Regions from separate parts of the Mus musculus genome. Here regions 1 and 3 are each reported to be linked to region 2. The links are microRNA targets in miRTarBase. Many come from high-throughput screens and were not tested one by one. Region 2 holds a microRNA gene; each other region holds the end of a gene's coding sequence.
What was found. Region 2 holds the annotated microRNA mmu-miR-26a-5p (UUCAAGUAAUCCAGGAUAGGCU, at 1,809-1,830, shown strand). A microRNA usually pairs through its seed, bases 2 to 8, with sites in the 3' UTR of a target mRNA and lowers its output. Matches are read on the target gene's strand: a 7mer-m8 pairs with bases 2 to 8, a 7mer-A1 pairs with bases 2 to 7 and ends in A, and an 8mer does both.

Region 1 (3,000 bases), not on the chromosome of region 2:
TCTTTTTCCTTGCCTTAAAGCATACCAGCACCTTGGGGACATTTGTGACATTCAACTACCACTGCTCCAAGCTCCTGAACTTTCAACCATCACAAGGAGAGACCCCATGTCCAAGGCTGACATAGTTTTAGAAAGATTTTATTTTATTTTGTTCCTCAAATCTGGAACAATCATGGCATAACAAAGGAGTAAGTTCACAAGTTAAATAAAATCTTCAAGGTTAAACAAAATTGGAAAGAACTAACATTAATATCTCTAAAAATAGGTTATCAAGCTTTTACTTTTGTATCAAACATGAAAATCCAATGAGATATAATCTGAGACATATTCCATTCTATTTGTTTTATCAGACAAAACCTCCAGTTATTTTTAAGAATCACTTTCTGAAAGTCTTCTTAAATCCATTAGTTATGCTAATATTCCAAACACTGCCTACAGTCACAGCTGGAACTGAGGACAGCTGTTCTGAGAACACTAAGGAACGATCAGGTAGGTGTTATGAAGTAGGGACCGTCAGTCCACCTATAGCTACAGGAGGACACAGGAGGAGTATTCAGACTCATGTCACTCAGACTCTGTCACAGTCTTTGGAGTAAAAAGTGTCCTAATGGCAGGCTATATGTCAGCCAAGTTGGGTAAAGGTTGGTAAAAGATGTCATTAGCCATAGTACCATTTTCTTATAATACTCTTACCATAATAAAATACAGAATATTAATGACCAGGAGATGCTGCTACTGAACTGAAGATGACTGTGCATATCATATTATTTGGTGGTTTTAATTCCTAGTGTGCAGTGAAGAATGGAAATGGAGATTGCTGGCAAAGGAGACTTCCCGGGAAGCAGAATTCTCTTTTGTCTACCTGCAGAGGCCATCACAGACCTGCCATTCATTGACTGCCCAGATCATTCTCCCGCTAGCGCAGAGGTGGGAGGGGACAGCTTGAGGACAGAATCGGAAGGGCTGGAGGATATTTATTCTGCCCTTACAGTCAGCTCACTGGACTAGTAAATGCCAGGTAACTCTTTCTCGTTTACTTTGTTTATTAATTCATTTTTAAAAAGTACTGGCTATCTATTATGTCGCAGACATGGTTGCTGATGTTGGTGATAAACTGTGAATGAGACAGAGGTGTTAATGAGAAGTACCACTGGGTTTGACACACCCTGCTGCGAATCTGGTGGACTCACATCGGTAAGATGTATGAGGGTCTGAGAAAGGGCTGACAGTCAAATAGTGTATCCTCATTCTCCAAGCCCAGAATCCAGAGCCCCAGAACAGGGCAGTGAAACAGAGAATGAAAGGGACATGGATGGTGTCTCCTCTGCCTTACTGAGGCCAACATTCCATGGCCACTTCCTTTCTGAGACTGCTCAGGGCGAAGAAGTGCTATCCTGGCCTTTCTTGCCACTGCTTGAGAAAACAGCATAGACCATGGCATAGTGGGAGATATAGCCACAATCTTGACAGATTCCATGCAACTGTGAATAATCCTCCTTAGCAGATGCCACAGACCCACAACTCCCATTAGCATGGACACAGAATGACCAGTCCACCTCCTCTGGGCAGGGCTTAGGACTATCCTAAAGCTCAGAATGGGTGAAGCAGAGGGGAGAGAGACCTCAGGCACAGGACAGTGAAGTCCAAAGGCATGACAGGAACAGAGCCACACAAGCTGGGTAGCAGAAGTCTAGACAGAATGAGCAATAGTGGGTGGGGGTGGGGGTGGAGATAAAAACACATTTAGTTATCATGGAAACCAAAACCACGGCACAGGCATGTCTCCATGCTGGCTTACTGCAATGGGCTGTGCGCTCCACAGGAAGATGAGTGAGCGGATGGGTTAGGGCTAGGGCTAGGGCTAGGGCTAGGGCTAGGGTTAGGGTTAGGGTTAGGGTTAGGGTTAGGGTTAGGGTTAGGGTTAGGGTCATGGGTGCGGAAAGCCCGAGTAAGAGCTCACAGACAGGGAGCACTCACAGCCAACAGAACCACTAGCAACATCTGCTCCCTGCCTTTGTTACAAGAAATGTGTCTTGCCAATAAAGCTGGTTATTAGCAGAGGGAGTTCTAACAGCTGACTTGTGAAGCAAAAAGAGCCAGCTGTCCTGGCCTCCAGGACTCAGGGATAACTTCCTATGTCAAGTTCCCAGCGTCTGTAGTTTAGGAAGCAGGATGAACCCGGCCACCCTGGCCCCAGACACTAACTCCAGCCAACAGCAAGATCCTTCCAGATTTTACTGGCTTTTAGAATGTACTGTGGGTTGAAATTGGACTCCTTTGGTGGGTTATGTAGCATGAGGGCCAGGTGACAGGGTGGGGGATGATAAAGAAGAGAAGCCAGGGGAGTAGGGGCCTGAGGTCTAGCCTGCCCAGAAATGGGCTCCAGCCCCCCTTACTCCCCAGAGCCCTACATCCAGGGGCTCCACACACCAGTGCTCTTGGGATCGCAGCGGGGGTCCAAGGGTGGGAAGTGAGAAGGCACAGAATGTTCATGGTAGTACTGCAGGCGGGAAAGAAGGTTCTGGACGATGTGGGGGTGCTCTCGGGACACGTCGTGTCTTTCTTCAGGGTCCTGATTGATATCAAAAAGCCAGAGAGTCTTGGTTGGTGGGTCCACTGGAGGTATCTCAGAGACGTTGGACTGAGACGGAGGCGGGAACCAGTAACCACAGCCTGGTAAAGAAATTAAACTTTAGTGTGTGTGTGTGTGGGGGGCACTGTTGGTGGGTTCTAATTTCAGGAATCTGGGTACAAGGCTTCCTTGGCTTTGTGGGTATGGTCGTACATCAAGAAACAAACAAAAAACCTGTGCCTTCTGATGTCGAGTTCAGAATACGATTTCCATGCCATGATGATACGGATCCTATAGCGTTACAAGGGACATTAAAAACTATATGTGGGGTGGAAGCAGGATGGGGGTGTTAGTTGTCACGATGGCTGGGGCAATGAGGGTACTCCTGCTATCAAGCAACAGCACAGTAATTCTAAGATCTCTCGCAA
Region 2 (4,644 bases):
GGGAAACCGGAAAATATGTGATACTTTTTGCCCTGTGCTGGCTAAGAACTGCTCAGTGGGCTGTCTCCAGGGGGTAGGGTTTCCTGTCTGCTGACACTGTGCACTTCTGCCTTCTAGCCGATCAACAATGCTGACTTCATAGTGCCTGTAGAGATTGAGGGGACCACGCACCAGGTGAGCTGTTTGCCAGCATACACCCTGCCTCAAAGGGAAACTGCCTCTCAACCTGTTTATCATCAGCTTCCATGTTTGTTGATGGCTTGTCTCCAGATCATCCACACTTCCCTCTAGCCAACACTCCTGTCTCTATGTAGTCAGGCTGTTTGCAAGAACTGTTGGCTTTTTTAAAAATATTTTTAAAGAATTATTTGTTTTATGTATATGAGTACACTTAACTGTATTCAGACACACCAGAAGAGGGCATTGGATTCCATTAGAGATGGTTGTGAGCCACCATGTGGTTGCTGGGATTTGAACTCAGGACCTCAGAAGAGCAGTCAATGCTCTTAACCACTGAGCCATCTCTCCAGCCCAGGATAGGGTCTCTTTATTTAATTCTAGCTGACTTGGACCTCACAGAGGGCTGGAGTTAATTAAAGGCCTTCACCATTGTGTGCAGCCCCTGGCATTTTCACATCATAGTCCTAGCCATCACTGTGGCTTTTTAAATGTGCATTACTGGTTTTGCCTGCGTGTGTGTCTGTGTGAGGGTGTCGAATCCCCTGGAACCAGAGTTACAGTTGTGAGCTGCCAGGGGTTGCTGGGAATTGAACCCAGCTCCTCAATGAAGAGCATATGCTGTCCAGCCCATGCAGTCCATGCTTAGACCAGGCGAGCCTTGCTCTGTGTGCAGGGCTGTTAGGATTTGCTCCTGTGCCCTCTGGTGAAGAGCTACTGAATGTGTCTTCCCTGGCCCAGGCCCCTCCTATGACACCTTTCTGACCTCTACACTGGTTTCTGTAAGTGCTCCATATGCATCTGTCAGAGTGGCAGAGTCCAGGCTCTGCCGTGTACACCCTGCTGCCTAGGGTTAAGGACCACGAGGCATTGGTGAGAGACCATGTGCCCAGAGGCATGCTGGTCGGCCCAGGGGAGGGCCGGAGACAGTGATGCAGACATCCTAGCAAGCATGAGACCTGTTTTCAGACTGAGAAAGTTCAGCTTGAGACTGTCCTGGGTTTGTCATCGTAGCCCTCTGCCCCTTTACGAACTTCTGTACAGAGCCTCGAAGCTGTGGCTCTTTACTCCACCCATCACCCCCTGCTGTCTAGTTGAGGAAATAGAAATGTACAGAATGTATGGGGCTCTGGCATGGGCAGAAGGGGCCTGAGTGAGAGGGCTGCCTGCCATGTGGATCTGAGGAGAGCCTGGGAGGAGAGCAATGCTTGGTGAGGAAGGGGCTTGTTTGTGAGGCTTAAGAAGTGGAAGGTGATGGATAGATCCATTTGCAGCTGCATGGAGGGTTCTGCTGCTAAATGGGAGGGCTCTGCTCAGTTGGTGCTGATGTGGGCTAGGAGGGACTGGGGTGGGCACACCCCCTGTGCTGCTTTAAGGAAGTGAGTGAGTGGGCCTAAGGAACACTTGTGCAGGCTGAAGTAAGAAAGAAAGAAGAAGCAGCAGATCATAGACTGGGTGGCGAGTTAGTTGAAGAACCTTTAAAAGCGAGCAAGTCCTCGAAGCTGGTGGTGTGCACACAAACCTACGAGGGTGTGTGTTTGAAGAAGTTTGTGGTTCTTGCCAGATGGGACCTACACAAGCCGTCCTGCTGGAATCCCGTACAGAAGGCTACTGTGGAGGCTGCGGCTGGATTCAAGTAATCCAGGATAGGCTGTGTCCGTCCATGAGGCCTGTTCTTGATTACTTGTTTCTGGAGGCAGCGCATGGTCTGCCCTCAATGAAGATGGCTCCTGGGAGTGCATTCCTTCCTGCCGGGTTAGGGTTGGGCCTGTTGAGGCAGCAGAAGCCTGGTAACATGGTAGAGCTGTCCATGGTGGGGCAGAGGTCTCAGTGTCTCGACCTGGGTATCTAGGCCTGCTTGCTTTTCTGTCAGTGCACAGGCAGAGCCGGTGCTGTGTCCTTGGCCTTGTGGGGTTCCTACAGCAATCCACTCTGTCTCCCAGGTATATGTGCTCAAGAGGCCTTACGTCGATGAGTTCCTGAGACGGATGGGGGAGCTCTTCGAATGTGTTCTCTTCACTGCCAGCTTGGCCAAGGTACCTGACTGCAGGAGGGGCAGAAGGCAGGGGAGAGCCAGCCCTCAGCCTAGGCTAAAGCTTCTCCTTCTTTTCCAGTATGCTGACCCTGTGACTGATCTCCTGGACCGGTGCGGGGTGTTCCGGGCCCGCCTGTTCCGAGAGGCTTGTGTGTTCCACCAGGGCTGCTATGTCAAGGACCTCAGCCGCCTGGGAAGGGACCTGAGGAAAACTGTCATCCTGGACAACTCCCCTGCATCTTACATCTTCCACCCAGAAAATGCAGTGAGTGCTCGCATCAGGGACTGGGGTGGCTGCAGGCTGGGCCCGTGGGCTTTATCAGAGGAGTCCACAACCCCTGTGTGGCCCAGCAGCCTCCAATGGCACTGGAAAGGAAAGGAAATATCAGATAATGTCACTTTTTCCTGCCCCAGGTGCCTGTGCAGTCCTGGTTTGATGACATGGCAGATACAGAGTTGCTGAACCTGATTCCAGTCTTCGAGGAGCTAAGTGGAACTGATGATGTCTACACCAGCCTTGGGCAGCTGCGGGCCCCTTAGCCTTCCTGCTCCAAGAAACGGCCATCCCAACAGGGGACTCTGCTACACTGTGCCTTTGTGGTCAGCCTCACTGACGGGGTCTGCAAGTAGCCAGGGCGTGTGGGACAAAAGCAGGTCACACGCAGAGCAGGAAATCAGACCAAGACCCAGAGCTCTCTGCACCCCGTGCTCAGTTCCCAGGTGGTTGTGTGGGTGTGTGTGCGTGCATGTGCCCGTCCGGTAAACTATGGTCCTGGGTGCCCAGTTGTGCAGTAGGGGGAGAAGCTGAAAGATAAGGACTCAACCCAAGTCATTTGTCTTCTTTCCTGCTATGCTGTGAGCTACTGAGCTTTACAGCCATGAAAACTATTGTAGGCTCCCTCGCCAAACCATGGCTTTCCCTCAGCATCAAGACCTGTGCCAAGGAGAAGGGAGAGGCCGGAGGCTGCTTTGGATGCCCAGACACACATCTTTCAGAAAACACAGAAACCTAGCCAGCAGCTGCAGACATGTTTGGGAATATGAGAGCATGTTCGCAGACCCACCAGGTTCTGTGTCCTATGGGCTACACCTGGCTCCAGCAAGAATGCCTGCCATGGGCACTTCTCTGTACCCGGGCTCCAGTGCCAGGCCAGCCTCTCACTCCCAAGCCATAGTCCTACTCCCATGGGAAAGGAGGTCTTCTCTCTGCCCTGGAGGAGGACATATAGCTGATTTCTGTTCTTTTAACTCTTAAAAATCTCTTTCTAAACTTGGAGTGGTTTATATTCGCCCGAGCTCCAGTCCTGGGCCTGAGGTTTGTGTGGGAAGCGCTGGGGTACAAAGAAAATGCAAATGTTCAATGCAAGATGTCTGTCTCCTTGCGTGTAGATCCCAAAAGTGCTCTTCAGGGGTTCTGTGCTAGCTGATGCAAGGACATTAGCTCCAAAGGCTGGGGAGGGCTTGGCTCTCCCTCTGTGTCTTCCTGGTGTCCCGCCCTGGCCAGCTCTCGTCTGCTCTCGCCTTTATCCTTCTCGGCTGCTGCTCTTCCTCTCCAGAGCCTTGGGAGAAGGACTTTCCCCGGTTGTACTTAATTGATTGGTTGTCCCAAGTGTTGCTCTTACTTGATTTGCCAAATGCCTCCTGCTTCTCGTTATAGGACTGAGTGAGGTCCTCATAGCTCTGTGCTCTGGGCAGCTCTGAGCTCTCAGCCCTGTTGCTTTCAATGTCAGTCACAGAGTGGAAGTTTCCCCAAAGTGGAAAGCTACCATTGGGAACACAAGGGGCCCCTGAGGGGCCTCCACCTCACTGCCTTAAGTGAGTCCCGCCCACTCCCTGCCTCCCTCCGAGGTGGGCGGGAGTTCCTACCCCATCTCTGCTTCCCCTGGAGGCCGGCCAGCGTTTGTGGGTTGGTTCAGGTGTGGTACCTCCCACTCAGGAGTCAATATTTTCAAATTTTTCTAGTTTCCACACACGAGGTCCTGCCTGGGGTTTGAGAAAGCCTGGTGGAGGAGTGTGGTGGTGTGAGTGGAGACTGGCTGGCATTCCTCCAGCACTCTGCAGACTTCTTCCTGGGCCCGAGGCTATGGAGCCTTGGCTTTCACTTCTGTGACAAACACATGCCATTTCCCCAGCCTCATTTGCTGGTGTCTGTAGGGTCCTCCCAAGGTGAGCTGAGGGCTGCAGGTGCTAGCCAGGAACATGGGAGCTTGACTGTGGCTTCAGGTCCAGACCCTGATCTCACTGGCATCCCAATACTGCAGGAGGGGTCTTCTCACAAAGCTCTGAGGGCTGGTCTTGACTAAGCAATAAGAGCCTCAGAGTTGATTGAATTTTAAGGTCCCTTTCTGGCTTCTTGGTTCTCCATGTGACCAAAGCCCAGTGTGGCTTCATGGGAGCCCTGTTACTTCTCCATGAAACCCCAGCTCTCTAGG
Region 3 (3,000 bases), not on the chromosome of region 2:
TTGTAGCAGCCCAGAACAGGAGTTTCTGGCTGAATCTTTAGCCCACTGCCCATGACCCTGGGTCAGCCTGGGTGTGTCCTAGCCTTGAGCCACAAGCCCCAGAATCATGTGTGCCAAACTAGCATGAAGCAAAACCTTAGTTTTGAACCTTGGGGAGGAACCACATGACTCAGCTCAGCTCAGAAACATTCTCCTTGCCTCATAATCTTAAAGGGAGGCATGTGTATTCTTGGGAATCTCTAACTTTTAAAAGTGAGTGTAAGTCCCACATTGGGTGACACCGGTTGTCAATTTTACTCAAATCTACGAGCGCGCTTGATACCTACACCAACATTCTGGGTTCCCAAATAAAAGACACACACATAGCCTTATATTTTATTGTGCCTGAAATAGCTCAATGGCTGGGCCACTGCCTCCCCTCCCCTCTGATAGAACAGCTCACGTCAGGAGGTGCTGGAGGCCCTGGGAAGCAGTGGCAGGGGCCAAGGCCTCCCGAGAGACCACAAGGCACCTAGCAGTGAGAAGCTGCTTCTGCCGTGGCTCCATGGAAGAGTCCAGACATAGAATCTTTGCTGCGGCTGCCTGTTTAGAGCTGGCTTTTACAGCAGCCCACAGCAAAGCCAGACCCATGCGTTCCAGGTAGGCATTCTACTAACCTGGTTCCCAGCCCTGCACAGCTTACCTTTTGCTCAGGACACAGGCTATAAATAAATAAATAACATTTATCCTTGCTCTCCATCCTTGTCACTTTTTTGATGTACTGATTCTCCCACTAAGTAAAATCACTTTATTATGCAGACAAAAGGGAGGCCAGCGAACACATTTTCTAACTGAAAGGTTTTTTTGATGAGCACCTACTGTGATGTGAACGTCCTTCATCGTGCCCTTCCCATTTGTCCGTGACCAACATGAACAGCAGTGTGCAAAGGGCAGTAAGAATCCTAGCAGCAATACTGCCTCCCAGTGAGAACTGAGTCATCTCATGGCTTATCTGTCCTGTGCTGTGCTGTATCTGTCTCATACACCATAAGCAAGGCCAGTAGATATTTTAGGAGTGGGGAGCTGAGTACTTGATGGGAATCATGGTCTGGGACTCTATTATCAGCCCAGGTGACCCACAGGGAGGCCATGTGTCAGCAGGCAGAGGCTTGGGCTGGTCTGCACAGAGAACACCTGTGTGTTTATCCTGTCCCTCTCACTGGTCCAGGCCAGCCCAGAGCGCCACACATATTCCCTGAGCACTGCACCTGAGTCAATGCTCTGCCTGTCTCTTTAGTGTGGCTTTAGTGAAGCCTGACTCTGAGTGTGAGACGAGACCAAGAGTCTCATATATGCAGCGATCTGTAGGCTCAGTAACCTGGAGCTGGGGTTCAATTCTAGCTCAGGTTCCCACTTGTACTCATCATTTGACTCAATGCTTTCAGTATAGTCATTTATCAAGATACCAGTCATTTATAAAAGCAATGAGAACACAAATGTTGAAGACAGCATCACTTTAAAAAGGTAACATTTTTTAAAGCATCATGAATAAATATGTATTTAAAATGCACAGTGGACATCTTCAGTTTGTATTGTTCCATAGCACTCTAGCTGGGGTGACACAACAGGAGCTGATCAAGTAGCACAGGGGACAGCCTGGGCTCACGCACGCCCGAGGCAGCAGTGTGCTGTCTCCCTGCTCTCCCCAGTGGAGCCTCTAGAACACTAACCTAGGAGTGTCTGGGGATTTGGCTCCTAGAGCCACCTTGTGAGGGTGACTCTTCGGGGTTGCGGCAGCTTTTGAACCTAGGGTGGTGTGGGGATGGTCACCGAGCCCGTGAAGGACACACTGTCAGCTAGGGTGGTGTGGGATGGTCACCGAGCCCATGAAGGACACACTGTCAGCTAGGGTGGTGTGGGATGGTCACCGAGCCTGTGAAGGACACACTGTCAGCTAGGGTGGTGTGGGATGGTCACCGAGCCCGTGAAGGACACACTGTCAGCTAGGGTGGTGTGGGATGGTCACCGAGCCCGTGAAGGACACACTGTCAGCTAGGGTGGTGTGGGATGGTCACTGAGCCCGTGAAGGACACACTGTCAGCTGTGCCTGTGGCTTTGAAGCTGTCTTCACTGTAGACCTTCACACCCCAGACTCCACTAAGAACTGACACTGTATTATGCCTACACCAGGGGCAACTGCAAGTTCACTTATTCCACAAGCAGGCAGATCTGGTCCCAGGAAAAGGGACCAACACAGAGGCAGGAGACAAGGACTTCTCAGATGCGACCCTACTCTCAAAGCGATGCCCTCTCTGTTATGTCTCACACTAACATGATGCTACACCTAACACCTAGCAAAGGGAGAAAGAATATGGGAATTAAGAAAGGACTAGCTGAGAAAGGAGCTGACGGGGGTGGGGTGGGGGTGGTACAATTGTTTCAAGAACTCAAGAAATGCTTCAACGACATGCCCCCTCTTTATCAGTCCACACCACCACCGCCCTTTCTCAAACTGCAGGGTCAGTCTCACATGACCAACGCTTGTGGCCAGCGATGCTCCTCAGGCAATCTTGGCCAGCCACTTCTCCAAGTCCTGGATGTCAGCAGAGCCAGTGTCCCCTCGTCCACCCTTGGCACTACACTCCAGGAACTCCACTTTGAGTGGCAACTGGGAAAATTCAAATTCTTTGCCTTTCTTCCCCAACTGAGCAGGTGCGGTGCTGGAACTGTCCAGTGTGCTGGGAGCCGCGGACCGGGTGACTCGTAAGGTGTTGCTGGGGGCAAAGGGAGAAAAGTCAGACGCAACAAAGCCCAAAATCCTATGAGCTCCTAAATCAAAGGGATAGCACCAGTCGGTATTGACACTGCTGGCTTGTCCTTTATGTCCATGGATCACTGTTTCAGACAGACACCAGTGGGTTAGGAGACCCAGGTCACACCAGCTCTTTGAAGCCTCTACCTACTTCTAAGCTCTCCTGAATGGCCCCACTGTATTATAAAACTCATGGTTTTGAAACTTCA

Region 1: miRTarBase lists Arsb as a target of mmu-miR-26a-5p. The part of its 3' UTR that is shown has no 7-base or 8-base seed match.
Region 3: miRTarBase lists Srprb as a target of mmu-miR-26a-5p. Seed matches in the 3' UTR shown: 7mer-m8 at 1,615-1,621.

Annotation. Positions count from the first base shown.
Region 1 is chr13:93,940,139-93,943,138 of GRCm38, reverse strand. It overlaps Arsb (arylsulfatase B), which reads right to left. Exons shown (of 8, transcript NM_009712.3): 8 at 123-2,673. The coding sequence ends at 2,408. Among named protein-coding and RNA genes, the nearest start is that of Lhfpl2, 120 kb to the left of the region's middle.
Region 2 is chr10:126,993,735-126,998,378 of GRCm38, forward strand. It overlaps Mir26a-2 (microRNA 26a-2), which reads left to right and starts at 1,796; the gene lies at 1,796-1,879. It overlaps Ctdsp2 (CTD (carboxy-terminal domain, RNA polymerase II, polypeptide A) small phosphatase 2), which reads left to right. Exons shown (of 8, transcript NM_001113470.1): 5 at 118-174; 6 at 2,121-2,213; 7 at 2,292-2,477; 8 at 2,627-4,644. The coding sequence ends at 2,752.
Region 3 is chr9:103,187,669-103,190,668 of GRCm38, forward strand. It overlaps Srprb (signal recognition particle receptor, B subunit), which reads right to left. Exons shown (of 7, transcript NM_009275.4): 7 at 365-2,753. The coding sequence ends at 2,540. Among named protein-coding and RNA genes, the nearest start is that of Srprb, 13 kb to the right of the region's middle.